7 linked regions of the Cricetulus griseus genome follow. The protein of the gene in region 2 interacts with the protein of the main gene of each other region in a biochemical or structural test. Links are inferred from orthologs where the notes say so. Each region holds a gene or a part of one and is shown on either strand. Other genes may lie near its edges.

The links.
Region 1: the proteins of Src (region 2) and Khdrbs1 form a complex in vitro, tested with the Homo sapiens proteins (8 studies listed by BioGRID, with this or other methods). The link is inferred for Cricetulus griseus from reciprocal best matches to the Homo sapiens genes SRC and KHDRBS1.
Region 3: the proteins of Src (region 2) and Ldb3 interact in a test that uses a peptide from one of them, tested with the Homo sapiens proteins (2 studies listed by IntAct, with this or other methods). The link is inferred for Cricetulus griseus from reciprocal best matches to the Homo sapiens genes SRC and LDB3.
Region 4: the proteins of Src (region 2) and Kit form a complex in vitro, tested with the Homo sapiens proteins (3 studies listed by BioGRID and IntAct, with this or other methods). The link is inferred for Cricetulus griseus from reciprocal best matches to the Homo sapiens genes SRC and KIT.
Region 5: the proteins of Src (region 2) and Muc1 form a complex in vitro, tested with the Homo sapiens proteins (2 studies listed by BioGRID, with this or other methods). The link is inferred for Cricetulus griseus from reciprocal best matches to the Homo sapiens genes SRC and MUC1.
Region 6: of the proteins of Src (region 2) and Shc1, one has a biochemical effect on the other in vitro, tested with the Homo sapiens proteins (4 studies listed by BioGRID and IntAct, with this or other methods). The link is inferred for Cricetulus griseus from reciprocal best matches to the Homo sapiens genes SRC and SHC1.
Region 7: the proteins of Src (region 2) and Dok1 form a complex in vitro, tested with the Homo sapiens proteins (2 studies listed by BioGRID, with this or other methods). The link is inferred for Cricetulus griseus from reciprocal best matches to the Homo sapiens genes SRC and DOK1.

Annotation. Positions count from the first base shown.
Region 1 is NC_048595.1:23,279,753-23,283,784, forward strand, and holds the start of Khdrbs1 (KH domain-containing, RNA-binding, signal transduction-associated protein 1), read left to right. Parts: upstream 1-1,232; 5' UTR 1,233-1,382; coding exon 1,383-1,764; intron 1,765-4,032. UniProt on the Homo sapiens protein: Recruited and tyrosine phosphorylated by several receptor systems, for example the T-cell, leptin and insulin receptors. Once phosphorylated, functions as an adapter protein in signal transduction cascades by binding to SH2 and SH3 domain-containing proteins.
Region 2 is NC_048599.1:22,117,671-22,121,626, reverse strand, and holds the start of Src (proto-oncogene tyrosine-protein kinase Src), read left to right. Parts: upstream 1-1,156; 5' UTR 1,157-1,390; intron 1,391-2,147; exon of another isoform or gene 2,148-2,277; intron 2,278-3,956. UniProt on the Homo sapiens protein: Non-receptor protein tyrosine kinase which is activated following engagement of many different classes of cellular receptors including immune response receptors, integrins and other adhesion receptors, receptor protein tyrosine kinases, G protein-coupled receptors as well as cytokine receptors.
Region 3 is NW_023276807.1:184,830,238-184,833,737, forward strand, and holds part of Ldb3 (LIM domain-binding protein 3), read left to right. Parts: coding exon 1-351; intron 352-1,735; coding exon 1,736-1,916; intron 1,917-2,445; coding exon 2,446-2,566; intron 2,567-3,500. UniProt on the Homo sapiens protein: May function as an adapter in striated muscle to couple protein kinase C-mediated signaling via its LIM domains to the cytoskeleton.
Region 4 is NW_023276807.1:142,126,586-142,130,085, reverse strand, and holds part of Kit (mast/stem cell growth factor receptor Kit), read right to left. Parts: intron 3,048-3,500; coding exon 2,854-3,047; intron 1,412-2,853; coding exon 1,305-1,411; intron 1,213-1,304; coding exon 1,086-1,212; intron 811-1,085; coding exon 706-810; intron 607-705; coding exon 496-606; intron 1-495. UniProt on the Homo sapiens protein: Tyrosine-protein kinase that acts as a cell-surface receptor for the cytokine KITLG/SCF and plays an essential role in the regulation of cell survival and proliferation, hematopoiesis, stem cell maintenance, gametogenesis, mast cell development, migration and function, and in melanogenesis.
Region 5 is NW_023276806.1:65,326,002-65,330,222, forward strand, and holds the start of Muc1 (mucin-1), read right to left. Parts: upstream 2,801-4,221; 5' UTR 1,539-2,800; coding exon 1,481-1,538; intron 870-1,480; coding exon 1-869. Other genes in the region: Thbs3 (thrombospondin-3), read right to left, coding at 4,128-4,186. UniProt on the Homo sapiens protein: The alpha subunit has cell adhesive properties. Can act both as an adhesion and an anti-adhesion protein. May provide a protective layer on epithelial cells against bacterial and enzyme attack.
Region 6 is NW_023276806.1:65,125,204-65,129,212, forward strand, and holds the start of Shc1 (SHC-transforming protein 1), read right to left. Parts: upstream 2,801-4,009; 5' UTR 2,392-2,800; coding exon 1,897-2,391; intron 1,350-1,896; coding exon 1,279-1,349; intron 815-1,278; coding exon 751-814; intron 637-750; coding exon 517-636; intron 39-516; coding exon 1-38. UniProt on the Homo sapiens protein: Signaling adapter that couples activated growth factor receptors to signaling pathways. Participates in a signaling cascade initiated by activated KIT and KITLG/SCF.
Region 7 is NC_048601.1:74,204,847-74,208,774, forward strand, and holds Dok1 (docking protein 1), read right to left. Parts: upstream 2,801-3,928; 5' UTR 2,724-2,800; coding exon 2,664-2,723; intron 2,350-2,663; coding exon 2,056-2,349; intron 1,879-2,055; coding exon 1,785-1,878; intron 1,666-1,784; coding exon 1,481-1,665; intron 1,312-1,480; coding exon 502-1,311; 3' UTR 200-501; downstream 1-199. UniProt on the Homo sapiens protein: DOK proteins are enzymatically inert adaptor or scaffolding proteins. They provide a docking platform for the assembly of multimolecular signaling complexes. DOK1 appears to be a negative regulator of the insulin signaling pathway.

The sequences.
Region 1 (4,032 bases), on a different chromosome or scaffold from region 2:
AGGACCAGCATTCATACCAGCAGTAGGAGCACAAGAGAACTATACAGCCAACACGGATTAAGGACTGGGCCTGTGGTCACCTTTTTACAGAATAAAACAGAAGGCAACAAAATGTATAAGCTAAAGGGCCTCAGTCTCACCATTGCTAGGACCACAGGTGTGCCATCTCCCTAATCTATCTAAAATGTTTCTTGGTTTGTTTTGGGGGACTAAGCGTCCATTAGATACCCTAAGTCGCCAGGAGCTCCTAATGGAGATCAGACTTGTCTCAAACTTTCGTTAAGTCTCCTGAGTTTCTCCCTCCTCAGCGCAGGTGTACACTACAATGGTGCATCTTAATCCGCCCTCCTCCATGGGGGGGGGGGGAAGACACATTGAATGCCACTGAGTGTAGAGGTCAGAGGACAACTTGTGAGAGCCGGTTTTCTCCTCCCACCATTTAGGGCCTGGGGATAGAACTCAGGAGACAAGCAGAGTTACCTGCTGATCCGACCCCAGATGCGTCTTTCCACAAGAATTCTCTCGCCAATTTTGAGCCTGCTATAATGGAAAGCTTAGTATCCGACTTCTTGGATGCCCTGTTTGGGTCTGGAGCCCCTTTCTCCCGGCCTTTGCGTCTCTGATCGACCCTTCTGAGTTGCACACTGGCAATAAGTGGCTTTTAGTCTTCTATCTCTCCCTCCAGGCTTCCCTTTCCACACCCAACGCTTACTCCTCGGGTCAGCCTCTCCCAGCGCTCCCAGCGTCCCATCCCGTTGGGGCAGTCTTTCCCTCTCTTCCGGCCTCACACTGCTCTAACCCTCCTCTTCCCCTCTCCGGGTCCCCAGAAGCGTTCTTTCCATTTCCTGGCTGGAGGGACGGCACCAGATGCTCCTCAGAAGCACATCTCTCTAGGGACCTTGCGAGGCTCGGCCGTTGGAGGAGGCGTGGCCCTCGAATAAGTCCTCCGCTGCCCCACTCTCGGCGGGCCCGCGCGCAGACAAAGACATTCCAGAGCCCCCGCCCCCTCCGCCTGAGTGGGGGGGGGAGACACGTGAACCGCTAGCACCGAGTCACGTGGAAAACAAAAAAAAAGAAACGAACGAAGGAGGCTGGCGCCCGCGCAGGCGCGATAGACCCGAAGCCCGAGCGGGGAGACGACGTCTTTAGTCGGCGCAGGCGCCGTGGCCAGACTGGGGACTTTGTTCTCCGCGGAGAAACTCAAGGGCGGTGCCGGTAGACGTCTGCGCACGCGCGCCGCCTCATTTCCGGTGCTCTCTCGCTGGGTCGCTCGGGTCGGCTTCGGTCGCTGTCGCTCCCGCTCTTCCACCCCCGCCAACCGCCGCTCGGGCCTCGGCTGCCGCCGCGTCGCTTCCTCGCTCGCTCGCCACACATCCTCCCCGATGCAGCGCCGGGACGACCCTGCCGCGCGCCTGACTCGGTCCTCGGGCCGCAGCGGCTCCATGGACCCCTCAGGTGTCCACCCCTCGGTGCGTCAGACCCCGACTCGGCCGTCACCGCTGCCTCACCGGTCCCGGGGAGGCGGAGGTGGGCCCAGAGGGGGCGTCCGGGCCTCGCCCGCCACGCAGCCGCCGCCGCTGCTGCCTCCCTCGGCCACGGGTCCCGACGCGACTGTGGTCGGATCGGCGCCGACCCCGCTGCTGCCCCCGTCAGCCACAGCCGCGGCCAAGATGGAGCCGGAGAATAAGTACCTGCCCGAACTCATGGCTGAGAAGGACTCCCTCGACCCGTCTTTCACTCACGCCATGCAGCTGTTGTCCGTAGGTAAGCGGGTCTTGGCGCACCCTCGGCTTTCCCGGTCCTGGCGGTGGGTGGCCGCCGCTTTGTTCCTCTTGCTCCCGCCCCCTCGGAGCCCGGGCATCGGGAGTTCCCTTCTCGACCCTGGCCTTCAAGATCCTGGACCCACAAGTCCCACCCCTGCTCAGGGTGTGAGGGGAGATTTCTGAGCCTCGGAGGAGTCTCCGTGCGTGCGCGCAGAGCTTGATGGATAGTACTGTGCTCCCGCCCCCCTTCCCGACCCTGTCTCCTCCTCTAGTAGTTGCCCCGCGCGCCGACGACCAGATCTTTCCAGAAATGAACCTTCTTTGCCCCGCTTTCCCAAAGGGGGGAGGGGAATTTGCCTTTTGATCGCGCGTGGTGGAGAGCGCCTTGACCCGGGGTGTAGGGAGGAAAGACGGTCGGAACCGGGAGGGAGGCAGGGCCGGGATGCCGGGCCGGCGCCGGCGCCGTCACCGTCTACCGAGCCGTGCGGGATTTAGCGGGAACTCGGATTTAAGTTACTCAGAGGCTGGAGCGACGAGAGAACCGGAGCTTGAGATTTTTCTCGAGTTCAGTTTTCCACATCGGCCTGTCGAATAAGAATTGCTGCAGACCCGGACGGTTTTTCTCCTTTATTTTAAAATGTGTCTTGACAATCACGCAGAAGTAGAGCGAGTAACTAAGGAGACTCTGGGAAGAAATGATAAAGGGAGGTAAGGGACTGCAGGTTCTTTATCGTGAGATGAACGAGAGAAATTGGTCTTGTTTTAGTTTGGGCTTGAGAAGAGATAGTTTAGGAAAGGTAGCCTTTGTTCTTTGCTTGCAGACGGCGAGCTCTCTTGACTTCATGACTTAGTTTTCTTATTCAGACCATCTGCTTGACCCTCATTTATAGTTAAGGCATGGTTTTTAATAAGTATTTCTTACGACATCTAAATATTATTTAGCATATAAAACCCTTAGTCCGTCTCACTAAATGAGTAGTTGGACTCTGGCCAAAATGATACCGTGGACAGTTCATTGTGAAAATACCATTATCTGATGGAGAGAGATGGAACAGCGGTTAAGAGCACTTTCTGCTCTTCCACAGGGGTTCGGTTCCCAGCACCCACATCACGTGGCTCACAAACACTTGTAAAATTAGCACCAGGGGAGGGGGATCAGATACTCTTTTTGAACTACAGGCACTCAGGTACGAATCTGAAGTGAAATAAAGGGAAAATACCATTTTCCTCCATTTGTTCTCTGTTTCCTAGGATTGGTGAAGGGACTTTACTATTTTTGCAATAAAAAAGAAGATTTAAGGATGTGATTTTCTTTACAGACAGGTATGAAAACAGCAATTAAGGGTTTTGTTTTGTTTTGTTTTGGTTTTGGTTTTTCAAGACAGGGTTTCTCTGTGGCTTTGGAGGCTGTCCTGGAACTAGCTCTTGTAGACCAGGCTGGTCTCGAACTCACAGAGATCCACCTGCCTCTGCCTCCCGAGTGCTGGGATTAAAGGCGTGCGCCACCAACGTCTGGCTAAATTAAGGGTCTTACAAGTGCAGTAAAACAAAAAGCTGGGTCAGTAAATACAAACGTTTAGATCAGTTGGTTGCATTTCAACTTAGTGCCCCTATTCTGCTCTTTGTTGGTTTTTCCAGATAAGGTTTCTCTGTGTTTTCCTGGCTGGCCTGGAACTTGCTGTGTACACCAAGCTGACCTCAAACTCACAGAGATTGGCTTGCCTCTGCCTCCCAAATGCTGGGATTAAAGATGTGTGTCACCACTGCCTGGCTAGGTTCTTATGTTTCATGACAAGTTACTTACTGGTAAGAATTTTCTTTTTTTTTTCTTTTTTAAGGTCTCAAGTAACTGAGACTGGTTGGCGCTCACTTTCTAACCAAGGATGATTTGAACTTATGTTCCTTCTGCCTCTATTTCCAGAGTTTGGGAGGTATGAAGTGCCTAGGATAAAACTCAGAACTTTATGCACGATAGGCACTCTACACATTCAGGCCATCTTTCATTTTATTTATTTATTTATTTTCATACTGGCTTGCAAATAACAAACACCAGTGTTTGGTTGACTGAGAACAAGTGCCTGCAAGAAAATCACTATGATTAAGGTCGACTTAGTATTCTTATTTTTAGTTCCTCAAATCTTTATAACCTGACAGGTTAATTGCTGGAGAATTAAGTGGTTTTAAGAAGTTAACTTTGGAAACTGATCCTTAACTAGCTAATCTTGAGAAATTTACTCAAATGCTGGGTTTGAGGACTAAGTTATATGTA
Region 2 (3,956 bases):
TACTTTGAAGCTTTCCATCGTCTTAGGTTTGGAAACGCCCAATGTCCAGATCTTTCTGTTGAACTTCCAGCAATGGATGTAGTGATACGCTGGCAAATATTTAACAAGCAACTCTCTGGAAGAAAAAGCTAAGGTATGGTTTGTCAAATTTCTCCATTTCCAAGTAGAACATACTTCCTTGGAGGCCGATGCCAGGTGACCAGTCTGACATCACTGAATATGGCCCTGAGAAGGAGGACAGCGGTCCTAAGTGTTTGCAAGCCTCTGAGAACCAGCTCCAGCACCTTACAGGAAGAGTAGCCACCCTTCCCCCAGCCCAGTGTGGCCAGTGAAGGCCATTAGACAAGTCTTTGGCGGGGAAGAGGGCGGAGAAACCTGCTCCTCCAGCCAGGGCCTGCCCAAGGGAGTCCTGGGAAACTGCCGTTAAACTTTAAGCAAGTCTTGCAAACAGGAGTGGCTACTTTGCCTGCTGTTCATGAGGATCCTGAGCAGCCCCGTTCTCTCTTCTGGCTCAGTGGGCTACCCTGGCCACACTTGCACTCAGCAGTGCGGCCTTCAGATCCCAGTCCTGTCCACTCCTACCTACTTCACAACGGGAGGAGGCTGGAACAGGAAACTGATGACTGAACAAACCCTGAGGCACCTGGCCTAGATGTGAACTTAGATCAGCCTGACTCAAAGCTTTGCTCCTTCCTGGCCTGCTGGGACATACATTGTACCCTGAGGCTGGAGCCTCTTATGTTCTGGGAGGATGGGAACCTGCCCTTCAGGAGGGGTCTCCACCAGGAGAAAGCTCAGGCCTGGTGCCACATTAACCTGGTTGGGTCTCAGTTGGCCACCTGTGAGATGGGAGCACTTTCAAGGAAGGAGGATGGAGGCAGATGGTCGGATTCATCTTTCTAGAGGGGAACGGAGGAGTCAGAGGTGGACCCCCTCCCTGGCCCAAGGGGCAGCCCTAGAACCTGGACAGGGACTGGCGTTTGTGAGGGGTGGTCTTTGAGACCAACCTGAAACCACATCCCGCCCCCTTATCCCATTTTCCTTCTCTACTTCCTGTTTGGCTGATCCTGCTGTCCTCAGTGGCTGACTACCTGCATACTTCCCAGCAGATGTACGTGGTCTCTGCATGCGCTGAAAATGAATTTAGGGCTGGCCTGATGCTTGCAGTCCCTGCCCTCCATAGGCAGAAGCTGGAGCCTCCCACAAGTTCAAGGCCAGCCTGTGTCACATAGTGAGCCACTGTTTCGCCTCTTGATACATTTTAATAAAGCTGCCTCTCTCCTCCTCACTCTGCCCCTCTGGTCCCAGTCTCTGGTTAAAGACAATCAGGTCAAAGCTGGTGTGGCCAGTTGCCTCAGTTTCCGTGTCTGGAAGATAGTGCTAGCCATCGGTGCGTAGCTCAGGTAGCTAGGTTGGTCCGGGGCGAGAGGGCGCCCCCGCGGGTGGAGCTGCGGGGAGGGGGCTGGGTGCGGGAGGCGCGGGGCCCGGCTCGCACAGCAGGTCCCCCGGGTCGCCGGCGGGGCCCGGGTCCGCGCTTCCTTCTTTCTCCGGCTCGCATCGGCCGCGGCCCCTCCTCCCGCGCGCTCCCTCCCCCTCGCCGCTGCCGCCGCCGCCGCCGCCTCCTCCCTTTCTCTAGGTCTGTCTCTCCCGGCCCGGAATCCACCCGGCCGCCCCGCCGGAGCGGCCAGGCCGCCGCCCGCCAGCGCTGCGCGCCCCGCTGGGGTCCGCCCGGGCGCGTCCGGAGCCCGCGGCCGCGCCGCAGGTGAGCGCCCCCGCCCCGCCAGCCCCGCGCCCCGCTGCGGGCTCCCGCCCTGCCCACTCCCCGCCGCGGCCCGCGACCTGCCCGGCGCGGCCTTTTGTTGGGATGCGCGGGGGAGGCCGGGCGGGGCGCGGGGGGCACCGGCGCGTGGGGACCCTCGGCCGCAGAGTCCCCAGCCCGGCTAGGCCACATCTGAAAACCCGGCCGATCGGCGCCGCCCGCGATCGCGGCTGCGGGGCCCTGCGCCCCCGGCCCGGAGTGGGGGTTGGGGGTGGGGTGGGCGCTGGGGACTGGGCTCCCTGGTGGCCACGCGACCTCCTTGGGTCTCCGGGCCTCGGTTAGGGCCTGGTGCTGTTGGCCTGGCGGAGACTGGGCCACTCTGTCCTCCCCTCACCCCCGCCAGCCCCCAGCCTCGCCCCTCCTCGGGCCCAGCGACCTGCCGGCTCCGAAGTTGGCAAAAGTTTTGGTGTTTCAGTACCACTACTAGGTCCACTTGCCCACCCGGGCAGGTACTGGAGGTGAGTTTGTGTCCCCACTAGAACCACCACTTGTCATGCTGTGTGTCTTGGAGACAACTGCCTTAGCTCTCTGAGCCAAGGCCCTTCTCAGTGATGGGTAGACGGCCAGGACTGCTAGGCTGGTTGAAGAGTGGAGTGGACAGAGGGGACTTTTCCCTGGGTAACCCCTAAACCTCTAAGGTATTCAGAGGGAGAAAAGTGGACAGAGACGTGTGAGGCTTATGAGGCCCTAAACAAGGTCTTCCCTGACTCACAAACTGTGTGAGCAATGGTGATGGGTTCACCTGGGTGGAAGTCAGATTCAGTTTCCAAGGTGGGCATGGGGGCGGGGCGCGTGCGGGGGTGGGGCGGGGCGGGCGGGGATGGGGCTCTTTCCAGACTTTTGAGTCCAAGCATCAAAGTCTCTTGTTTTCCTGGGTGATCTGAGCTGGGGGCTGCTCCTTGGATCCTTCACAGCAGTGACAGGGTCCTCAGGTGATTACTCCCTGTGCTTCTGGCAGCTAAGGAGTTGGCATGCATGGGGTGGGGTGTCAATAAATGAGTTCCACCCTGGAGCCTGCACAAGATGACTGGGGTGCTTGTGGCACAGCTGCCTGCAGGAGAGGGTAACTGTGTCTCGAAGGGTGCCCTAGAGCCTCAATATCCGAGCACCCTCCTGTGGCCCACAGCTGTGTGAATATAGTCAGCTCTGGGTTCCTTTTGCCTCAGTCTTGTCAGAAAGGAATGATCAATCAGATTGTGAAGGCACTCAGTGGTAGAGCACAGGCTTCGCATGCCCAAGGCCCTGGTGCTAGCCTTGGCACTACAGGACGGACAGATAAATCAGGTGGAGCCATGATGATCAGAGCTGTTGAGGTTCACTGAACTCCTCCTGGGGCTAGCTCAGTCTGCAGCTGGAACTGGAACTTAGACTTCAGAGGAGCTGGCTGGCTGCCCTTTAACCTGCAGTGACAGTGAAGGCTGTATAGTTTGGGGTCAGGAACAAGGCATTGTTGGAAAAAGACTCCTCCCATATCACCCCCACCTGGCAGAGCCATAAGGCCCTGCTGGAGATGGGGTGTGTCCCGGTGAGGTGGCCTTTCCACAAGGGGAAGTGACTTATAGTGTGTCACCTCTCAGCTGACTGCTTGTATCCTGGGGTACACACTGAGAATGAGTGTTAGGGGCACGCCCCATCTCATGTTCATCCTTGTTCTTCCAGCCTTAGGGCAACCCTATCTCTCCCACCCAATCCTCTTCTGTTTCCTGTCGTGTCCCTTTCCCCAGCCCCCCACCAGCCTCCAGCTTATAGGCTGCCTCCTGCTTGGGCTTTTACCCCATTCTCATCTGACAGTAGGGGTGGGAATGGAGCATGTCTGGGTCCTCTAAGTCCCAGGATCTAAGGAGGACTGGCTAAATGGTTTTTGTCCCTGTTATCCACCTGGTCCTCGGCTGTCTTTGATCGTACATTGAGCACTTACTATGCACTAGGGCCTGTGAACTTTGTTGAGCAGCTTTGTGGTAGGAGGACGACAGCTTCCTGAAGGAGGAGCTTGAGCTGGAGCAAGCAGTGGCCAGCTAGCCAAGAGTGCAGCTGGACCAGTGTTCTTCCCCTCTGCTCAGAAGGTCATCTGCCTGGGGACTTGCTGGGAAATTGTGAACAGGTCCTTGGCTTCTAGAAACTGGAGTAAGGCGGATAA
Region 3 (3,500 bases), on a different chromosome or scaffold from region 2:
ACCCACCTATACCCCCTCACCTGCACCCACCTATACCCCTTCCCCTGCGCCAGCTTATACCCCCTCACCTGCCCCAAACTATAACCCTGCGCCATCGGCAGCCTACAGTGGGGGCCCTGCAGAGTCCACCAGCCGCCCACCCTGGGTGACCGATGACAGCTTCTCTCAGAAGTTTGCTCCTGGAAAGAGCACTACCTCTGTCAGTAAGCAGACCCTGCCCCGGGGGGCTCCAGCCTACAACCCAACAGGTCCACAGGTAACCCCTCTTGCCAGGGGCACCTTCCAGAGAGCTGAGCGCTTCCCAGCTAGCAGCCGGACTCCCCTCTGTGGCCACTGCAACAATGTCATCAGGTACAGGCTTCGGTATGGGAGGGGTAGCAGATGGGAGGACAGATACAGGCAAAAGGCCAGCCCCACAGGGCAGCCTCAGGTCTCTCTGGCTCAACTCTATGAGCTTTAACTTCCATACCTGTGTGACACCCACATCCCTGGGGAATCGGGAGGATTCCATGAGGTAAGTGGGTGAAGCTCCCAGCTTGGTGCCTGGTGCCAGGAGCTCCCCCTTGGGCTAAGGCTGGGTTCTGGGAATCTTCAGCCTTGTTGTCAGTAGGTTTATTGAAAGCTAGGTGACAGTGCTGGTTTTGACCCAGCTTTCCTATAGAGTTGCTTCTGGATCTTTCTACAGACAGTCCCATGCCTCTTATGGCTCTGATAGACACTTCACTGAAATTAAAGCAAGTAATGCCCCTTAGAAGTCAGGGGTCTCAGACCATGCTTGTTAAATGCAGTATGTCTGTGTATATATGTGGTATGTGCTTCCATATGTGAAAATCTTTAAGAAACAAGCAGAGGCCAGGTATGGTGGTGCACACCTTTGGTCCCCAGCACTAGGAAGGCAGAAGAAAGCGTGTCTCTGTAAGTTCAAAGTTAGGTACTTCTAAAAGCTAGTTCCAGGACAGCCAGGGCTAGAAAGTAAGATCCTGTCCCCAAAACAGAAACAAAATGAGGAGATAAGAATTAGAAAATACAGAACTGAAAAAAATTAGAACATGAGGTTTTCTGATAGTTCCAGTGTTCTGAATACCAATCAAAACTGAACCATCATGTTTGTAGTCTACTGCTTCCTGGCCCTATGACCTTGAATGAGTTCCTTGGCCTTCCCATGTCTCTGTGTTCTTTACTGATAATTAGGCATCATAATAGTTCCTCCTTCAAAGAATTGTTATGAGGATTAAATATATTAACAAATGTAAGTTTATTCTTGAAGGGTATCTAGCACGCAATAATTTAATAAAGGTTAGACACCATCATCATTGCTCTCAGAATAACCTGTGAAAAACTGAACTATGTGATTTTTACTCAGTCCTCTGTGGTAGATACTTAGATTGCTTCCAGGTTCTGTTTGTTAGGTTTTGAAATGTGTGTTCCTTTATGACAGAATCTCACTATGTAGCCCTGGCTATCCTGGAACTTACTGTGTAGACTTGAACTTAGAGATCTGCCTGCCAAGTGCTGGTGTGCATCCCCATGCCGCATTGTCTGGTTCTATTTATTGTTACTGACATGACAATAGACATCTTTCTGCATGGAGCTTCCTCAGAATTACATGTTATTTCATTAGAACAATCCTCAAAGTGGACATTACTCAGCAAATGTATGAATATTGTTGGGGGTTCTTAAAATATCTGGTTCTAATTTCTGGGGCTCATTTTAATGCTCTTCTCTGCCATGCCAGGGGCCCTTTTCTGGTAGCCATGGGCCGCTCTTGGCATCCAGAAGAGTTCAATTGTGCCTACTGCAAGAACTCCCTAGCAGATGTATGCTTCGTGGAGGAGCAAAACAATGTTTACTGTGAACGGTGCTACGAGCAGTTTTTTGCCCCGCTCTGTGCCAAGTGCAACACCAAGATCATGGGGGTAAGTGGGCAGCATCCCTCTCCTTTGACCCTTGTCTTTTCTTCAACTGGACTGACTTGCTCCCTTCCCCTTGCTCCCTTCCCCTAAGATTCTGTGATCCTATTAGAAACACTATCAACAAGTGGCTGATAACAGAGAAAACAAGTCCATTTCCATCCTAGAATGGAATTGGTTTGCCATTAACTACTGAACCAGGGAACTAATTAACTTAGGCAAGCAATGATATACACATATGCCACCAGCTTCGAATAGTGCTGGGGTTCTGAAAAGCAAGTTCTTGCTTCACAGCCTGACCTCACCGCTCATCTGCCTGTGGCCCTGACTCTCAGTGTCCTTTTGGCAAAGTGGCCCTAATAAGCAGGACCTCCCTTCTCCACCCTCCCCTGCCTTCCCCAGCATCTGCTTTGTGAAGCCCTTCTGCACCGTTCCTTAGGCTACTTGGACAGCAGCCAGACCTGGTGCAGAAGCCAAGTCTAGCTCCCTTTCTCCTGGGAAACTTTCTGTCCTGAACTCAGAGTCTTTCCTCCAGGAAGTGATGCATGCTCTGAGACAGACATGGCATACGACCTGCTTCGTCTGCGCAGCCTGCAAGAAACCCTTTGGAAACAGCCTCTTCCACATGGAGGATGGAGAGCCATACTGCGAGAAAGGTAGGCCTGTGAGACATGGTACAGATAGGATGCAATATGACACCATGCTGGAAGACCCTGTACCATGTCCCACCTGGGTTGACAGGCAGGCATAGAAAACCAAGTCGTGCCTCTGTCCACTCACATCCTACTGTAAGCGGGAAGACAGGGTCTTCTGTGTTTTCTTTCCTATGTGGTACTGTGAATCAAACTCAGGGCCTCACATAAGCTCCTGACTTTGCTTTTAATGGCTGAATCATGCTATTATACATTAGCTGAACTATTTCCCCTGCTCATTTGGTTCTAGCTTTTGGAGAAAAGGAGTGAGAATTACAATGCATTTATATACCAGTCTCTGCTCCCTTCCATGTTTCTAACATTTGAGTCACACATTGTTCCATAAACCTCTCAGGCTATGTTGACATGGAAACCTGGGTCTAGTGTGAAAAGGGCCTTGGCTCTAGATGTCATCCTAGGTTCTATTCCTGGCTCCACCCTGAGATGGCTTTGTAACCCTGAGTAAAGCTGCTAAACACATGCCTGGTAGAGCTGATTTGAGGATGGAAGCAGGGCAGGGCCAAGGCATGGGATGCTCAGTGCCCTTCCCTTCCTATGGTGGTGCTTTTCAGGCTTCCTTCAATATCTCTGTACCTTGAAGTGTAATATGCTATTGTAACATGTGGGGAGTTGAGGAGTCACAGACTAGCTGGCCTTTTAGCCCTGCCCCCTTCCTTCACAGCCTGCTTTTCTCAGGAAGCGTTCTGCCTAATAAGGGGAGCATAGACTTGAAGGCTAACACAGCAGCACCAGAAAATCAGATGAGGAAAAACAGGGATATCTATAGTAGGATCTGATGTCCTCACATTAAGTTGTACATGCAGACAGAACTCTCATATACATTAAATAAATACATCTTTAAAACATAGTATTAGTCATGTCTGTGCTATCAATTTTT
Region 4 (3,500 bases), on a different chromosome or scaffold from region 2:
TACAGCCAAAAGCTATATCCCTGTACCTGTTAAAGGGGGAGGGTATTATAATTCAATACATGCATGCAATGTATAATGAGCAAAGGAGGGTGTGAGTGGCTCTATACAAAGAAACATCCTGCGTGTTGCCACACATTTGTGGGAGTTAAGATGTTGATCTGCAGAGAGCTGGATAGAGGTCCTTAGGACTGTCGAGTGGGAGGGGAATGGGAGGCTGAGTAATGGGCACCAAAACACACTTGTGGGGAGTAATCCCAATTTTCTACAACATAGTGTGGCAACTATAGCCCTCATCTCAAAGTAACAAAAGGACAGGAATCTGAAACAAAAAAACGAAAAAACTACATTCTTAGGAATGCTGAGGAAAGGAAAACAGAACAAAATACTGGAAAAAACAACAACAACAACTCCCAAACAGCTTATAATTAAGCACTGTCCAAATCATATTTTGATAGCCCGACAGACAGCAACAGGTGCTGTAGACACAAGACTCACCTCCCACGGTGCATGCTCCAAGGAGATTCACGATATTCATGTGATTGCCCAGGTAGCTCAGGACCTTCAGTTCTGACATGAGGGCCTCTCTTTCCGTTAAATGGGCACTTGCTAAAATGGAAAACAATGTATTTTAGCAAAATGAAGAAAAGAAAAACCCACAAGGCAAACTGGTGGTGGGGGCAGGTAGTGGACGCTCTGGACACTTACGTTTGAGCATCTTCACAGCAACCGTCATGGCAGCATCTGACTTAATCAAGCCATATGCAGTGGCCTCAACAACCTTCCCGAAGGCACCGGCACCCAACGTCTTCCCTTTAGAAAGGAAGACAAGGTCAGCGGAAAGACCCGGTGGACAATTGTGACGGTTCCAAAACCAACAAGGCAACTCAAGGAGAATGAGTCTGGAGAAACTTCACTATAGTCTTCCTTTTGCTAACCCAGCCAACTTTTGTAACATTTGACAGAAGGCACTTCTTGTTTCAGGTGAAACAAGACAAAGGAAGCCACTGAAGGTTCCTTAAAATCATTGTTATGTGTACACACACACCAAAAAAAAGCTACGTGGAAAGCCCCAGCTTCATACTGACCAAAACTCAGTCTGTTTCTGGGAAACTCCCATTTGTGATCATAAGGAAGTTGTGTTGGGTCTATGTAAACATAATTGTTTCCATTTATCTCCTCGACAACCTTCCATTGTACTTCATACATGGGTTTCTGGAGGAGAAAGGGAAAGACATGTCACCGCTTAACAATCAAAGCCTCGGTCATTGCGGCATCCGGGGGAGAGGGAGGAAATCAACAGTCACCTGTAAATATTTGTAGGCGAGAACCATCACAATAATGCCCATCAAGCCAGCTGTGATCACAAAACCAATGAGCAGTGGTGTGAACAGGGTGTGGGGCTGGATTTGCTCTGCAAGGGAAGAGAATTGTGATTGTGAGCCGTTTGCAGGACAACAGCCTGGCCACCACCACCTGTCCCAAACTGAACTTCTCTCATGGCGCATGCAGGGAACACATCTTACTCTTGGTATTCAAACGCATCATTCCTTCCTCTCTTTCTTTCATTATTAATTACTATTATTATTATTATTATTTATTTTACTATGTGCTAGGGATGAAACTTGGGTAAGTGCTCTGACACTGCACCACACTCACACCTCACACCTCACTGGACGTGCAGGCATCTCCAGAGATGTAAGTTAAAACCAGATTACAAAGAAAACGAACTTTCTGTAGCATACACATAATGTTATGCTGTTTCAGTAAAAAGCAACATCTGAATGAACTTCCTTTCTGGGTGCTTTGCATTTTCTTCCTGCTCTCTTATACTTTCTACCCTGAACATCAATGCCTTTGGCAGAGAGGAAAGGCATTTTCGAGGTGTCCTTTTCATTGCTCTGTCTGGGAAAAGTAACAATACAGAGAGCAGTGTTAGGCCTCTGCTCTTCCTTATCCAAAGGCTGAGGTCATGCAGCTTTTTGGCATGAGCCCTATGGCCAATGCTGGACACCACAGAAACTGGGCACTAAAAGCAAACTCAGATGCCCAGTTTCCTTGTCTCATATATGCCCATTCATCAGTGCCTTCAAGGGTCATGTGGCCTGCTAGTCACTCAGGAAGCAGAACCTAAAGAACTGGCTGGACAAGGAGTACAGCCCACAGAAGGCCATCCACATAGCATGCACATGCTCTGTACGATTCTGACAGTGCAGGTGCACAAGCATGTCTACACACACATGTACAAACACACACACAAATAAAATTGGGGAAAAACTATTGGCTGACAAGATATTTTGACACAGATATTTAAGAAAATGTAACTCATCTTAAATAACTAAAGTCATAAATAGAATTTATTTATTTATTTTTACTTATGTTTCTCAAAACAGGGTTTCTCTGTGTAACCCTGGCTGCCCTGGAACTCGCTTTGTAGACCAGGCTGGCCTCAAACTCATGGAGATCCACCAGCCTCTGCCTCCTGAGTGCTGGGCTTAAAGGTTGTGCACCACCCACCACATCCAGTGAATTTAAACTTTTTAAAGTTTCCTAATTATACTTGAGTAGAATGAAGGAAGGTTCCCTTACTCAACTATAACTGCACACATGTAACTTGTCGAGAAGCTCGGACAAACACAAAGAGAACAAGTAAAGCAAAATGGCTAATATTACATTGATAAAATCAAAACTTCATCAGCAGACTAGTATGGAATGAGAGTTTGTGAGTTTGATGACAGCACAGTGTGATGTAGGCATTACCAGAAATGTTATGGCCAATATTGGAATGGAGTTAAGATCATGGTATGGTACACAGAGCCTAAATATCCCCTTAAATTGGATCAAAAGGAAATATACCTTTGTTGTTACCTTTAAATGCAAAGTTAAAGAAGGCGGAACTCTTGCCCACATCGTTGTAGGCCTTACACTCCACTGTGCCGTTGTGCCGCAAGACACTGGAGTCTATGGAACTCTGAACCACTAGTTTTCCAAATGGTGACACAGAAGCGTTCTGGATCTGTACATCCACTGGTGGGACGGGAACGGCACACCTACAATAAGAGATCGACAGTGTGGGCTTATACCAGGAAACCAAATAAAAGCATGTGACACTTTGATCTGGCACATTTGTATGACTAGAAACTCAGGCTCAATAAAAACTCCCTTTCCCAGCCATCAGGTCAGGATGGCCCAAGGAGAATGAGCCCCCTGGGGACCTCTAAGTGAGGAAAGTACTGAAGGAAACCAGAAAGGGAGCAATGGTTTAGAGGTTGGACATGGACCTGTGCCCTGACTCCAAGTGCCCGACCTGGTGACTTTTGCCAGGTTCTGTCAACTCTTCACTGCTAGGTTTCTGTGGCTGTACCATCTCAAGGGTAGGTGAAAGGAATGGACTCAAATGGCTGCTGGCACTAAACGCCACTGTACCACAGACTTTTAGAAACAAATCTGGAAAGCATGAGTGATGGTTGAAGATAAAGTGTGTAGAAGAGGAAATTGCAGGA
Region 5 (4,221 bases), on a different chromosome or scaffold from region 2:
ATTACTGATCGGAGTGGTGGCTGAGCCCAACACAGAGCTGGTAGTTGGCACCAAGGAGCCATTGTAGACTGGGGTGATGGCAGAGGCTAAAGTAGCCTTGGTAGTAGAGATAGAGGTGCCACTGTAAACTGGAGTGGTCTCCAAGTCTGGTTCAGAACTATTAGTCATAGAAGAGGCACCACTGTGGGCTGAACTGGTAGCTGATTCCAGCGCAGAGCTGGTAGTTGGGACCAAGGAGCCATTGTGGACTGGAGTGGTGGCCGAGTCCACTGCAGAGCTGGTGGCTGGGGCTGAAGAACTATTGTGGACTGGAGTGGTGGTTGAGTCCACTGCAGGGCTGGTGGCTGGGGCTGAAGAACTATTGTGGACTGGAGCGGTGGTTGAGTCTACTGCAGGGCTGGTGGTTGGGGCTGAAGAACTATTGTGGACTGGAGTGGTGGTTGAGTCCACTGCAGAGCTGGTGGCTGGGGCAGAGGAACCACTGTGGACTGGAGTGGTGGTTGAGTCCACTGCAGGGCTGGTGGCTGGGGCTGAAGAACTATTGTGGACTGGAGTGGTGGTTGAGTCCACTGCAGAGCTGGTGGTTGGGGCAGAGGAACCACTGTGGACTGGAGTGGTGGCCGAGTCCACTGCAGGGCTGGTGGCTGGGGCAGAGGAACCACTGTGGACTGGAGTGGTGGCTGAGTCCACTGCAGAGCTGGTGGCTGGGGCTGAAGAACCACTGTGGACTGGAGTGGTGGCCGAGTCCACTACAGAGCTGGTGGCTGGGGCTGAAGAACCACTGTGGACTGGAGTGGTATTCAAGGTTGGGGAACTGTTGGTGTCCAGAGATAAGACGACACTGTTTTGATCTGGAAGGGCAAGAAAGCCTGAACCAGAGTTGAAGGTGGGGAGTAGACCATTTTTATGCTCACACACCTCTCAACAGAGATGGATACTAGGTTGCTTTGGATAACCTGCATGATTTAGAAATTGTAAAAACTACTGGGTTGGTGAATAAAATCAGAGGAAGGAGAAAAATATAAACTCCAAAACCAAAGTAACCCCAGAAGGGGTATAAGGTTGGCGTCAGGCAGTCCCTGTTTGCCTTCTTCCTTGCTGACAACCTCCCTGGCTAATCTCTCCCTCCCTAAAAGACTCAACCCTGCTTCTGGCTAATTCATTCCTCCACTACTTATTTTTGAGACAAGGATTCATACTGCAAGCTGGCCCTAACCTAACCGCGGCACATGGCCCCATTCTCCCACTACCATTGTCTCTCCTGACACAACCCACCTCCACAAACATCAGAGCATTTGCCTCCTACGGTGCCTACTCTCTTGGGGGTCACATCTTCTCAGCCTGTGTCCTTAGCCTCTTTCATTCTGGCACATAACTGGGTCATCTTTGTCTATCCTTTATGCCATCTAACAGCAAGCAAAAGAACGGTGAGGAGTCCCACCTGAACAACGCACCTCCACCCCAACCTCATGCCTCTCACCTGTTACAAGCACTAGAAGGAGCGTCAGGAAGAAAGGAGCCCGGATGCCTGGGGTCATGGTGGTGGTGAAGAGGCGGGAAGAGGGCAGAAACAGACTCAAGGCAGGAGCTGTGGCGTGTGTGCGGTGGAGCAGCTCTGGTGCCCGCTGCTTTATACCAGTACCCCTCCCGCCCTAGGCACAGCCAGAGCAGGTGACAGGTGACAAAACTCCGCCCCCTCCCCTATCTTTTCCTCCTCCTCCCCAACCATTCCTGTGTAGGGTACTTGGGCTCCAATCACTCAATCTTATGACTACTTGTTTATTCTCCAGTTGGCTTCCCCCCTTTTACCAAGCTCTCCTTGACTTCCCCAGGTGTGTTTGTGGAGGAGACCTGGGGCCCCCTGGCTCTGGTTTTAGCCCCAGAGCAATGGTCAAGATGGGGAAACGGAGCACAGAAAGGCCCTGGACAACTAGCCCAGGGAAACCCATCCCTAGGTTCCCCAATCCCGTTTCCTATTCTCTCTGCGGATCCTTAAAAACGGCTTTCCATAAGTTGAGAGGACACAAGGGGGCTGGATAATAATGGACAAGTCGCTAGTTTCAGGCTCCCTCCCCCCATCACTTCCCGGAATAGCTCCACCCTTCTAACCGCTCCCTGTACTCTGAAAACCACAGTCTCCGCCCCTGCCAGGCTTTCCAGTAGCCTGGGTCCCTGTTTGGCTTGCTCCTGAGAAAGGCGGTGGGGGGAAATTTCCACTTAAAAAGGACGAAACTGGGGCTCTACCGAAGCCTAAGGTCGTTCCTACCCAACTCTCCACCTTGAGTGGCAGGCTGGCCGGTCCTTCTGGCCGGGAACGCCTGCCCTCTAGTGGTCACCGGGAGCATCGCGCGGCCAACCCGCACGGGCCGAGTGGCCGAGGAGTTGAGACCCTGTGGGGAGTTTTGACAGCACACCCCAAGTTGAGACCGAGATCTTAGGGAAGTTGGTTGGGCCTTGACGAAAAGAGTCAACGCCTAGAATAGGTAGGAAGGAATGCACAGTGCGGTGGAGGAGCAAGGATCAGTGCTTGGGTTACTCAGATGTCTGGGGGGCGGGGGAGAGGCTAAGTGTGCGGGGAGGGGGGCACCTAAGGTATGTGGTGGGGGCAACAAGTTTAGCGATAAGGACTTCGGATTGTGGGAGGGGGAGTGGGACAGGTTATGTTCAGGCAGCTAGGTATTTAGGAGGCAGAGAATAGAAGGGGCGACCATGAAATTTGGGAGCTCAGAGCTGTGTTAGGGAGAGGAACGATATTTGGAGCAGACAGGCACGCCACGCGGTGCAGGGCAAACCCGTGTGTGTGTGTGTGTGTGTGTGTGTGTGTGTGTGTGTGTGTGTGTGTGTGTGTGTGTGTGCGCGTGCATTTAGGGAGAACCGAGAGGTATTCTGAAGGGCAGGGACAGTTGGGGACGGGGAGGGCTTTGGGCTCACAGCAGCATGTGGACTCAGAGTACCAGGCCAGATCCTGCAGGCGTAGGTTTGCAGTTACAACTGTAGTAGGCCAACAATTCTTAGTCCCAACGAGTACAAAACAGAAGCTGATACTTTAGAAACTTTTCGGAGGTGCGTAAATGGGGGCGTGGGACCCACGCTCCCGCCGTGTATCGCGCCTCTGAGCGATTTTGTGAGGCCGGCCCTGGGCGGAGTGAGGACGCCCTACGTCAGCGCGCCCACAAGAATTTAGGTAGGCGGGCCCCAAACCCCAACTCCTGGGATTGCCAGGCAACAGCCAGTCAATTTGGTTGCTGGGATACCAGTCACCATGACAATAGCTCCGCGCCTCTCAGTCTGAGTATTTAAAGAGCAAGCGCGCGCACTGCTTCGACGTTGCAAAGTGGCCTTCCAGGGCATGGGGGGGGGGGTTCCCCTTCTCTCTTCACCCTTTCGCCCCCCCTTTCACCCTTCGGGCACCCAGGCTCTGGTGTAACTCTAAAGTGACCCCAACTCTCCAGAGCGCCCCCAGTCCCTGGGTTCCAAAGGCCCAGGTGGTAGGGAGCGGGATTCCGGGGCCCCGGGCGGGCGGGAGGGACGGGACGCGGTGCAGTGTTGTTCTTTCCCCCGCCAATATTGCACTCGTCCCGGCCTCCGGCCCCCTCGGCCCCCCCGGCGCCCCCTCACCCAGAGCGGGGGAGCCCCAGCCCTGGGCTTTCGATCACTGCGGAGCTTAGAAGGGTCGCCGCCGCCACGGTGAGTAAGTGGGGCTGGAAGGACTTTAGCCCATCTTCCAACCTCATCCTTCATTTGGTACTTTTCCCACCCACACCCCAACTCAGTCAAACTTTCCCTGGCTCTCTAACCTGCGCTACCAGCCTTTCTAACCCCTCGGGCTCCTTATTGTCCTAGAAAAGGCCTAAAATAAGTGATTGCACTGACTTAGAAAATAGCTGAAACTTTATGGCAATGTGCTGATGATGTCTTTCCTGGGGTTCGTACCTGAGTAATATACCCCTTGAAGGTCCCCCAACCCCTGCACAATGGGGTCACCACCCCTCTGGAGCTGCGCTCCCTGATGGGTGCCAGAGAACCATCAGTTAGGCTGAGGAGCTGTAGATTAGACCCCAAGGTCTCCAGAACAGAGTCCAAGGTCAAAGGTCTCCAGTCAGGGTTCTGAATCTGGTGGCGGCACCTCACACCCTTCCCTGGAGCAGTTGCCTCCGGAATGGCTCAAAGTCCTCAGGCACTGTGTCTGAAGAGGGGAGATAAGTCACATCAGTGGGTGAG
Region 6 (4,009 bases), on a different chromosome or scaffold from region 2:
GCGAACGAGATGGACTGCATGTGATGGTTGGCAATGATCTGATGCGGGCAGGGGATGGAGAAGGAAGGGAACAATCAAGGTCAGCAGCCTCAGGGTCCCGTGTACCCTCACCCCAGCTATGACCTTGGCACCCACTCTCATTCTCTCATGTGGGCAGGGGATGGAGAAGGAAGGGAGTGGTCAAGATCCCGCGTGTCCTCACCCCAGCTATGACCTTGGCGCCCAGTCTTTCTCTCGGCTTCTAATCCTACACTCTTCTAATTTTGTTCTATTTGGCGGGGGTGGGGGGAGTGGGGGGGTGTAACAGGGATGCAGGGTCTCACTGTATAGTTGGAACTCAAACACCTGCCTCTGCCTCTGGAGTACTGGGATTAAATTTGTCACTATACCCAAGCCCTCTAATTTCTTCCTTCTCTACTCTCCAGTTGCTCCTGAGGACTCCAGGTTTTTGGCCTCCAGATCCCCCCACCCCATCATCCCATAACTACCCCCGTCCCTTTCAGCAGCCCCACCCACCTGTTTGCAGTCGGCTGCCATGAGGTTAAGGCTGCTGGTAGACACAGTGAGAGTGATTGGCATTCCAGCAAACTTCAGGTTACTCCTCCCCAGGATAGAGCTGAGTGGGCGGCTACAGGGCTAGGAAAGGCCCCAAGTCTCAGAACCTGAGCACTGGCAACACCAGGAGACACTTCTGTCTCCTCCCCTTGTGCCTGCGGTTGCCTTCCCCCTGCCCACCACAACCACACATACCTTTCTCCTCCTTGTGGCTCCTTTGGCACCAGGCACGGCTTCACACACCAAACTGATGGCCTCCCTAGAGAAACAGGGGTACTCAGACCTACTCCTGGCCTCCCACTGCCTGGGGCTGCCACAAAGCTGGGGGAGGGGAAGAGCAGGCCAGATTCTCAGAGCACTCCAGGCTCTTTGTCGTGGTGGATTGAATTAAGGGCCTTTAATATTTGATGACACTGAGGGGCTGCTTCCTGGCTGATTGGGTTAGGGCCTCAATGGTTATAGCCCCACCTCTTCCCAGTTACCAAATTTGCCATTCCCTTCCCAAAAGCAGCCTTTTGTAATCCATCGTCCCACAGTCTCCCAGGCTGCGTGGGTAAGGTGGTGCTCCAGACCAGAGCTGGCTCTTTGCAGTCAGACACACTGGTGTAACTTTCAGGTCTCTTAGCCACCCCATGAGAAGTCACCATCAGCACCACCACCAAATGCCCACCTTTCCTCCTCCTCCATACAAGACTCCAACAATACACCTGCCTCTCCACTAACCTGGTGACCTGAGTCCGGGTATTGAAGTCAAGGGCTCGCATTGACTGCAGGACCTCCACACAACCCATGTACTGTGGGGGAAGGAGGCAAGGATGGATCAGCTGCCCCCTCCCCGCAATACCCCACCCTTTGCAGAAGGTTCTAGGACTGTGCCCTATGTAGTCCCTAAGGGAAGTAAAGGTAAAGTAGCCTTCCTACTTCCTGGGGCCACCACCCCATAGTGAAGAAGGGCCACCAAAGAGGACCTTCATGCACTGTGGAGAGATTGTGAGAGGAGTTGTAGGCACTGGGTGGGATGGAGTGACAGCTATGGAAAAGGGAGGAGTCTAGAGGGAAGAACCCAGAAGTCATTTTTCATTCAACACTTACTAAAAGCCTCTGATGTGCTTGACCATTGTGTAAGCTGGGGGTAGGGATCAAAGGAAAGGGGACCTAGGCAGAAGACTCCCAGGCTAGAACAGAAGGCATAGAACTGGAGAAGGGATGTGGCAGGCAGGGTTAAGAACTAGGGGAATGCCACAGATGTTGGGGGAAGAGCAGGAAGTCCCAGCAAATCTGGAGTGAGCAGAGGAACTGGATGGGGAATGGGAGGGGGCAGAAAGGAGGATGTACACTCACCCGAACCAAGTAGGAAACCCCAGGTCCCATGACTTTGTCGTTGGGATGCAGCCAGCCTCGTGTGGGCTTATTGACAAAGCTCCCGTGTCTGGTCCACTCCTCGCCCCCCAGCTGGCCCCCTTCTACCCGAGTCCTGCGCCCGCCGCCTCCACTCAGCTTGTTCATGTCCTGGAGGAGGGGCAAGAGGCCTGAGTCCCGAAGGGCTGCCCCTGCATTCCCTTCCCCATCTTCAGCAGCCTTTCCTGGCTCTCCCTTAGGCCCCAGGCGCCCCCCAGCAGGATTGGCCAGCTTCAGGTTGCTCATCCGGGGAAAGAAGGAACACAGAGTAGTCGGACTATCATCCCCCGGCAGAGGAGGCAGAATGGGTCCCAGGGATGAGGCTGACGGGGAAGGCAGCTCTTCTGTGGGGGTAGACCCTGAAGCCCCCTCCTCCAGCGATGACAGAGACTCATTTCGAAGTGGGTTGTACTTCGGCTTGGGGGGTAGAAGATCCATGGCTGGGGTGAGAAGGGGGGCTGCTGCCTGGCCCGGCCTGGCCCCCCTGCCAAATTCAGGCAAGGGGGCCAGGCAGGGGGCATCCCCAGGCCCTTAGCCTGGTCTGACCTCTGCAGCCTGGTGATAACAGAGGACCTAGGGAAGCGAAGGACAAGTGGCCTCTGCTCTCCCACGTCAGACCAAGACAGTTTCAGGCCACATCCTTGCCCAGCCCTGCGAGGAAGCCTCTTATGGCTGAGGAGTACAGGCTGGACCCAGAGCTGACTGGCTCCTCCCCAGGGGCGGGGAACCAAGGGGAGAGACCAATCCCAAGGACAATGCTGACTCACAGGCTCAGAGGGGCAGAGACACCTCCTCACACAATGTGTGCTAGCCAGGCCACTCTCCCTTACCCAATACAAACAACTAGGGTCTGTCTGGGGAGGATGAAGGTGCCAGGTAGGAGAGAAAGATGGAAGAATAAGAAAAAGAGGAAAGAAGGAAAGGAAGGAGTTAAGAGGAACTCTGGATTAATCCAAACTGACATGGGCTAGCCAAAGAGAGCAGGAAGCCCGGAAGGTTAGGAGGGATAAAGGAGGAAACAGAAGCTGCTGAGGGAGGAAAGGGGGGGGGGTGATCTAGAGTTTAGTATTTCTCTTACAGCCTAGACCATCCCCACCCCCCACCATACAGTAAGTGAGGTGGCAGCCCCAGGGAACCTGGGCCATTAGCATCCTCAGCCACAACAGCTGTGGACAAGAGCAAGGAACCAGGAAGAGAAAGTTGTCCCAGTGGGTGTAGATCGAGGCCAAGAGGGAAGCAAAGCTGAAACAGGAGGAATAAGGCCAATTTGGGCGGTGGTCTGGGAGCTACTAGGCAAGAGCTAGAGCAAGCCTGTCCCTTAGGCTTGTTACCTACCAAGGACCAATGGACTTCCTGGACCCCTTTCCAGAGGATGTAGAGACAATCAGGCTACCTTTAGACCTACAGACATATTTCTCTCCTTACAGGCTGTAAGGTCCACCCAACAGTGTCCCTCACACTAGTAGAGGAGTTGGCCTTGGAGGTCTGAAAATGAAACAAACAGAACTGGTGCCTACAAGCCACAAAGGGATAATAGGGCCATAAACAAATCAGTGTTAATAAAGACAGGAAGAAGAAAGGGATACCAGAGGTTGGGATCTGGCCATAAGTGCATAATAACACCAAGCCCATATTCCTTTGCCCACAGCTTCCTGCCACAGCTCTGCTAAAGGCCATCAGGAAGTTAAAGAAAGTGACCAATCAGCATTACTCCAGAATAAACTATCACTTATTTCCTTTAAAAAAAGAAAAAGGGGGGGGGGGAGAGGCAAATACAAGAAGTAAAAGGTAGTTTCTTTACAGGCTCACCTCCAAACTACCTTTAGGTTTAGTTTGGAGAATTAAAAACTGTATGATTGTGATTAACAATACCGGAACTTAAAACGGGTTAAATATCATTCTTCCGATTTTTCACCTGCCCTTAGTCCCCATCCCAGGAGAGCTGTTACTGAATATCGAACTTCTTCCTGAAAAGAAACTCTGTCATCCCGTCTACTAAGTAAGACCTCAGCTCTTAGAGGAGGAAAAATTCTGCCACAGCCATACACTTCCAAAC
Region 7 (3,928 bases), on a different chromosome or scaffold from region 2:
GACAGCTGACCCAGGGTCACAGAGCTATAGACCTTCCCAGGTGAGCCTGTGACCACCCAGGCCCTGAGCCACCACACTGTAGACTTTCCTCTCTGGGGCCCTTTCCTCCTTCCTTGGTCCCCAACATATCTCTGGTTTTTCTTTTGATCCCCTCACGCCCTCCCAGGACATGCCGCCACTGTGTCTATTCACACACAGAGACTTTTTCAAACCAAACTGGCTTTAATGAAATTTGTCTTATAAATTAAAAATACATCTAGCAAAGAACAATACAAAAGTAAGGAGCCACACTGGCCTCCCCAAAGTGCCTCCACTCTGACTAGTAGGCCCCTTCCATAGGTCTAGTCCCAGAGCCTATATCACTCAGTTCTCGAGCTGGTCATCCCTTGATGCCTCTGGTCCCCTAGTCTTAACCTAGGCACCTCCCACCCTCTGGTTCCTGCTGGTTATAACAGATTTGATTGTCAATGCCACGGCCCCATGAAACTATCAGCAACTGTCTCAGGTGGAGCCCTCTGACTTGACTCCTGTCCTGTCATTCCCTACTCTAGAAAACCCACAGTCCCAACCCCCTGACGTCCCACTCTTCTGGACCTGGCTGTACAGAGCCATATCTGAGCTGTGGTCTTTGCTGCCACTGCCTCCTGTGGTACCAGGTTCAGGAAGGACCAAGCCCTGCGGCTTGGGAGCAGGGACAGGCTTGGAGTTTCGCGGAGGTGGCACAGCATAGTCATCTGTAGCAGGGTTGTATGGGAGCTCATAGCCCTCCTCCTTCAGCCGAGCCTGGCACCACCATGCATCCTTAGGTTCCTGCGGCAGATCATAAAGGCCCCGGGGAGGGGCTGGGGCCAGGCCCTCGGGTTCATCATAGATGGGGTCCTCTTTGGAGTCTGTCAGCTTGGCTTTCAGCAACCGCTGCTGCACGTGCCCATACAAGTCCCAATAGAGAGGTTTCTTCGAATGCATCCCCTCCCCTGCCCTAGCAGGGGTGCTACCCAGAGGGTCTGAGTACAGAGAGTCCTGAGAAGGGCCTGGGGGAATTCGCAAGGAGTCTAAAGGCTCAGCATATAGGGCTGGGGGGCTGTCCAGGGGCTCCTGAGGAGCAGGAGGGGAAGTCACCTTCACCTCTGCCTCCCCTTCATGGGACTCAGTTCTGAGGATATCTTGTGCCTGTCCCACCTTTCCCTGGGCTTTCTGCTTCTGGATGGCAGCCTCAACTGCCTGAAAGATGTCATTTCCCTGTGTAGTCTGGAAAGTGAAGGTTCCGGCGCCTGAGGGGCAGCGGCGACCAGCTTCAAAAGAGAACATTACCTGAGGGTGTGGAGGGAAACATGTTAGGAGTGTCATAAAAGATGAGTCACAGATCTTACCAAGTTAGTGTATCTGAGGAGAAGAGACCACCTGGGAATGGAATTGATCATCTACAGCTAGCCAACCCGAAGTCCTCCCTGACAGTCATCCTCCCAGACAGCCCCTGCACCTTGTCCCGGCCATAGCGTCGCAACAGAGTGTAGGGCCAGAAAAGGAGTGGCTCCAGGATTTGACTCTGGGTCCCCAAAGTCAGGAGGGTCAGCTTCTCAGCCTCCACCCTCAGTATATAGGAGCCTTGCAGGCCACAGCGTTCAGAAGCCTCAGTCTTCTGCGTGGTTACCCAGAACTGGGAGCCTGGAAGGAACACACAGAAAGGGGAAGGAGCGCTGGGGCAGGTTAGGGACTTGGTAGCCTCCAATCGCTAGCTCCCAAGACCACGTCTTCTCCCCACTCCATTCATGCCAGGCAGCTACCTTCCCAGGTGGGGCTATACAGGGAATTCTCCAGCATCTCCAAGGCAGAAAACTTAGGCGGGTTCTCCGTCTGCGCCAAAGCCCAGCCGCCTTTCTGCAGGAAAAGGAACACATATATATATATATATAAAAAGCCAAGCTGACAGACTCCAAATATATATATATATTTCCCTTGGGTCTGGAGTAGGTGCAGGAGGTCCAGTGCCGCTCTAATAAGCCCCATTCTCGTAATGCTCCTTAGGCCCAGGGCCGCTCACCCCCAACCCCTCACCGGAAAAGCGTTTCTGCATAAACTCTGCACCCAGGCGGCGCTGGACGGGGCGTCCGCCGCCAGCAGGTGCGAGCGCTGCGCGGTGTCCAGGCGGAAGGCAGTGGCGCCGGGTTCGGGGGGACTCTCCACTGACACAGGGGCCACGCTCACACACTCAGCCAAGCGGATCATCTTGCAGTCCAGACGGCGAGAGCCGCCTCGACCCCCTCCAGAGCCCTTGTGGTCAAAGAACTCCAGACGCGCTACGCCGTGAGGACTAGCTGGGTAGAGCACAGCCCAGGTTTTCCTCCACCTCTGGGGGAAAAAATGAAAGACGCGGGAGTTCGCGGCAGCACGCCCCCACGGGGAAGGAGAAACACACGCAGGCCGATCTGAGTCTGGGGCTTCCCAGGCAGGGACACTTTCCCAAAGATAATGCCATCATCCCAACTCCTCCCCAAGAAGGGCACAGCGTGGGGCTTCAAGGGAACTTCATGGGGCTCTGCAATTGCCGGAGCAGCGTCCCGACCTGCTTCCGGCCCCTTTCCTCTTTCTGGCTGCTTTCACCCACTTCTAGTCCGGAGGGGTTTCGCCATCCCCCACGCCGCACACAAACCCACTCACACTACCTTGGTCCCGAAGCGCTGACTCTGTAGAAAGAGCGGACCCTCCATCACAGCCCCGTCCATGGCCCCGGCGGTTCCTTCCCAGCTTCCTGGCCCCGAGGGCGGGGGGCGGGGCGGGGCGGGGCTGCAGGGTGCCGGAGGCGTGCCCGCCCCTCCTGGGCCCCTGCGGCAACGATGGGGGATGGAGGAAGAGGAGCCAGCAGGAAGAAGTCGGGGTACCCAGATAAGCCGACTGGGGCCTTTTATCCTACCGTTCGTTCGCACAGTGGTGCCACTCAGGGAAGCCGTGATTGTCAACTAGAAGGCCCTGGTGCCTGGGAGGTGGGGGGCTGAGAGTGGCGTCATATGCTTAGCGTGACATCAGAGTGAAGGCCGTGACGTCTCCCGCAGGCACCCCGGGGGCACTACAACCACCAAGGGGGGTCCTCGGGACATTAATTCCTCTTGTGGGACCTGCTCCCATGGCCCAATCCTGGAGTTGAACTGGACTGTTGATACTCTGCCTAACTGGGGATGTGGAGGAACAACTAGAGGCTGGCAAGTTTCCCGCCGCCGCAGGGGCCGATCACGAAACCGTTTACAAGTCCAGCATCCTGACAGCGGCTACCCGGCCTCCAACCTGCGGGAAAAGAAAGCTTCATTGAGCCGGCAGAAGGGCGGGGTAGTGGGGGGGGGGGCTGGGGGGGGACGGCTGCAGCAGCTCCACGGGGGAGGGAAGATCTAGAGGAAGGGGACTGGCCTGGCTTGGAATGGAGGGAGAAAGTGGAATGTGGGAGGCTCTAGGGGACGTGGGAGGGACCAACGAAGAGGGGGGAGGAAGGGGGGGTCCAGTCTCCCCTGGCCGAAGAATTTTTTTTTTTTTTTTTTTTTTTGGGAAGTCCTAAAACTAATCTCCAGGACCAGGACTCCGCTTCCAGCCTCTGGAGCTCTGCCTAGGCGAAGAAGGTAGGGGAGTCACTGCCGGCCAAGAGAAAGAGGAGTTGGGGATGGAGAGGATGGTGGACCAGAGGGAAAGTTGATTTGGGATGGAGTCGGGGAAGCCAACCAACTGACAGTTACATTATTGCTAAAGGAGCGGAAACACGAGAGTGGAGAGCTGAGCAGATAGTGGGGATGGAAGCTTCAGGGCGCAGTTGGGAGGCCCTAACCCGAACACCAGGGCTTCCAAGCCAAATGCCCCCAGAACAAAGCTGTCTTGTCTGAGTTAGGGGAAGCAATTCTGGGGGCCCCCTTGCTGTGGAGGGCTGTTTTCAGGCTTGGGTAGAGAA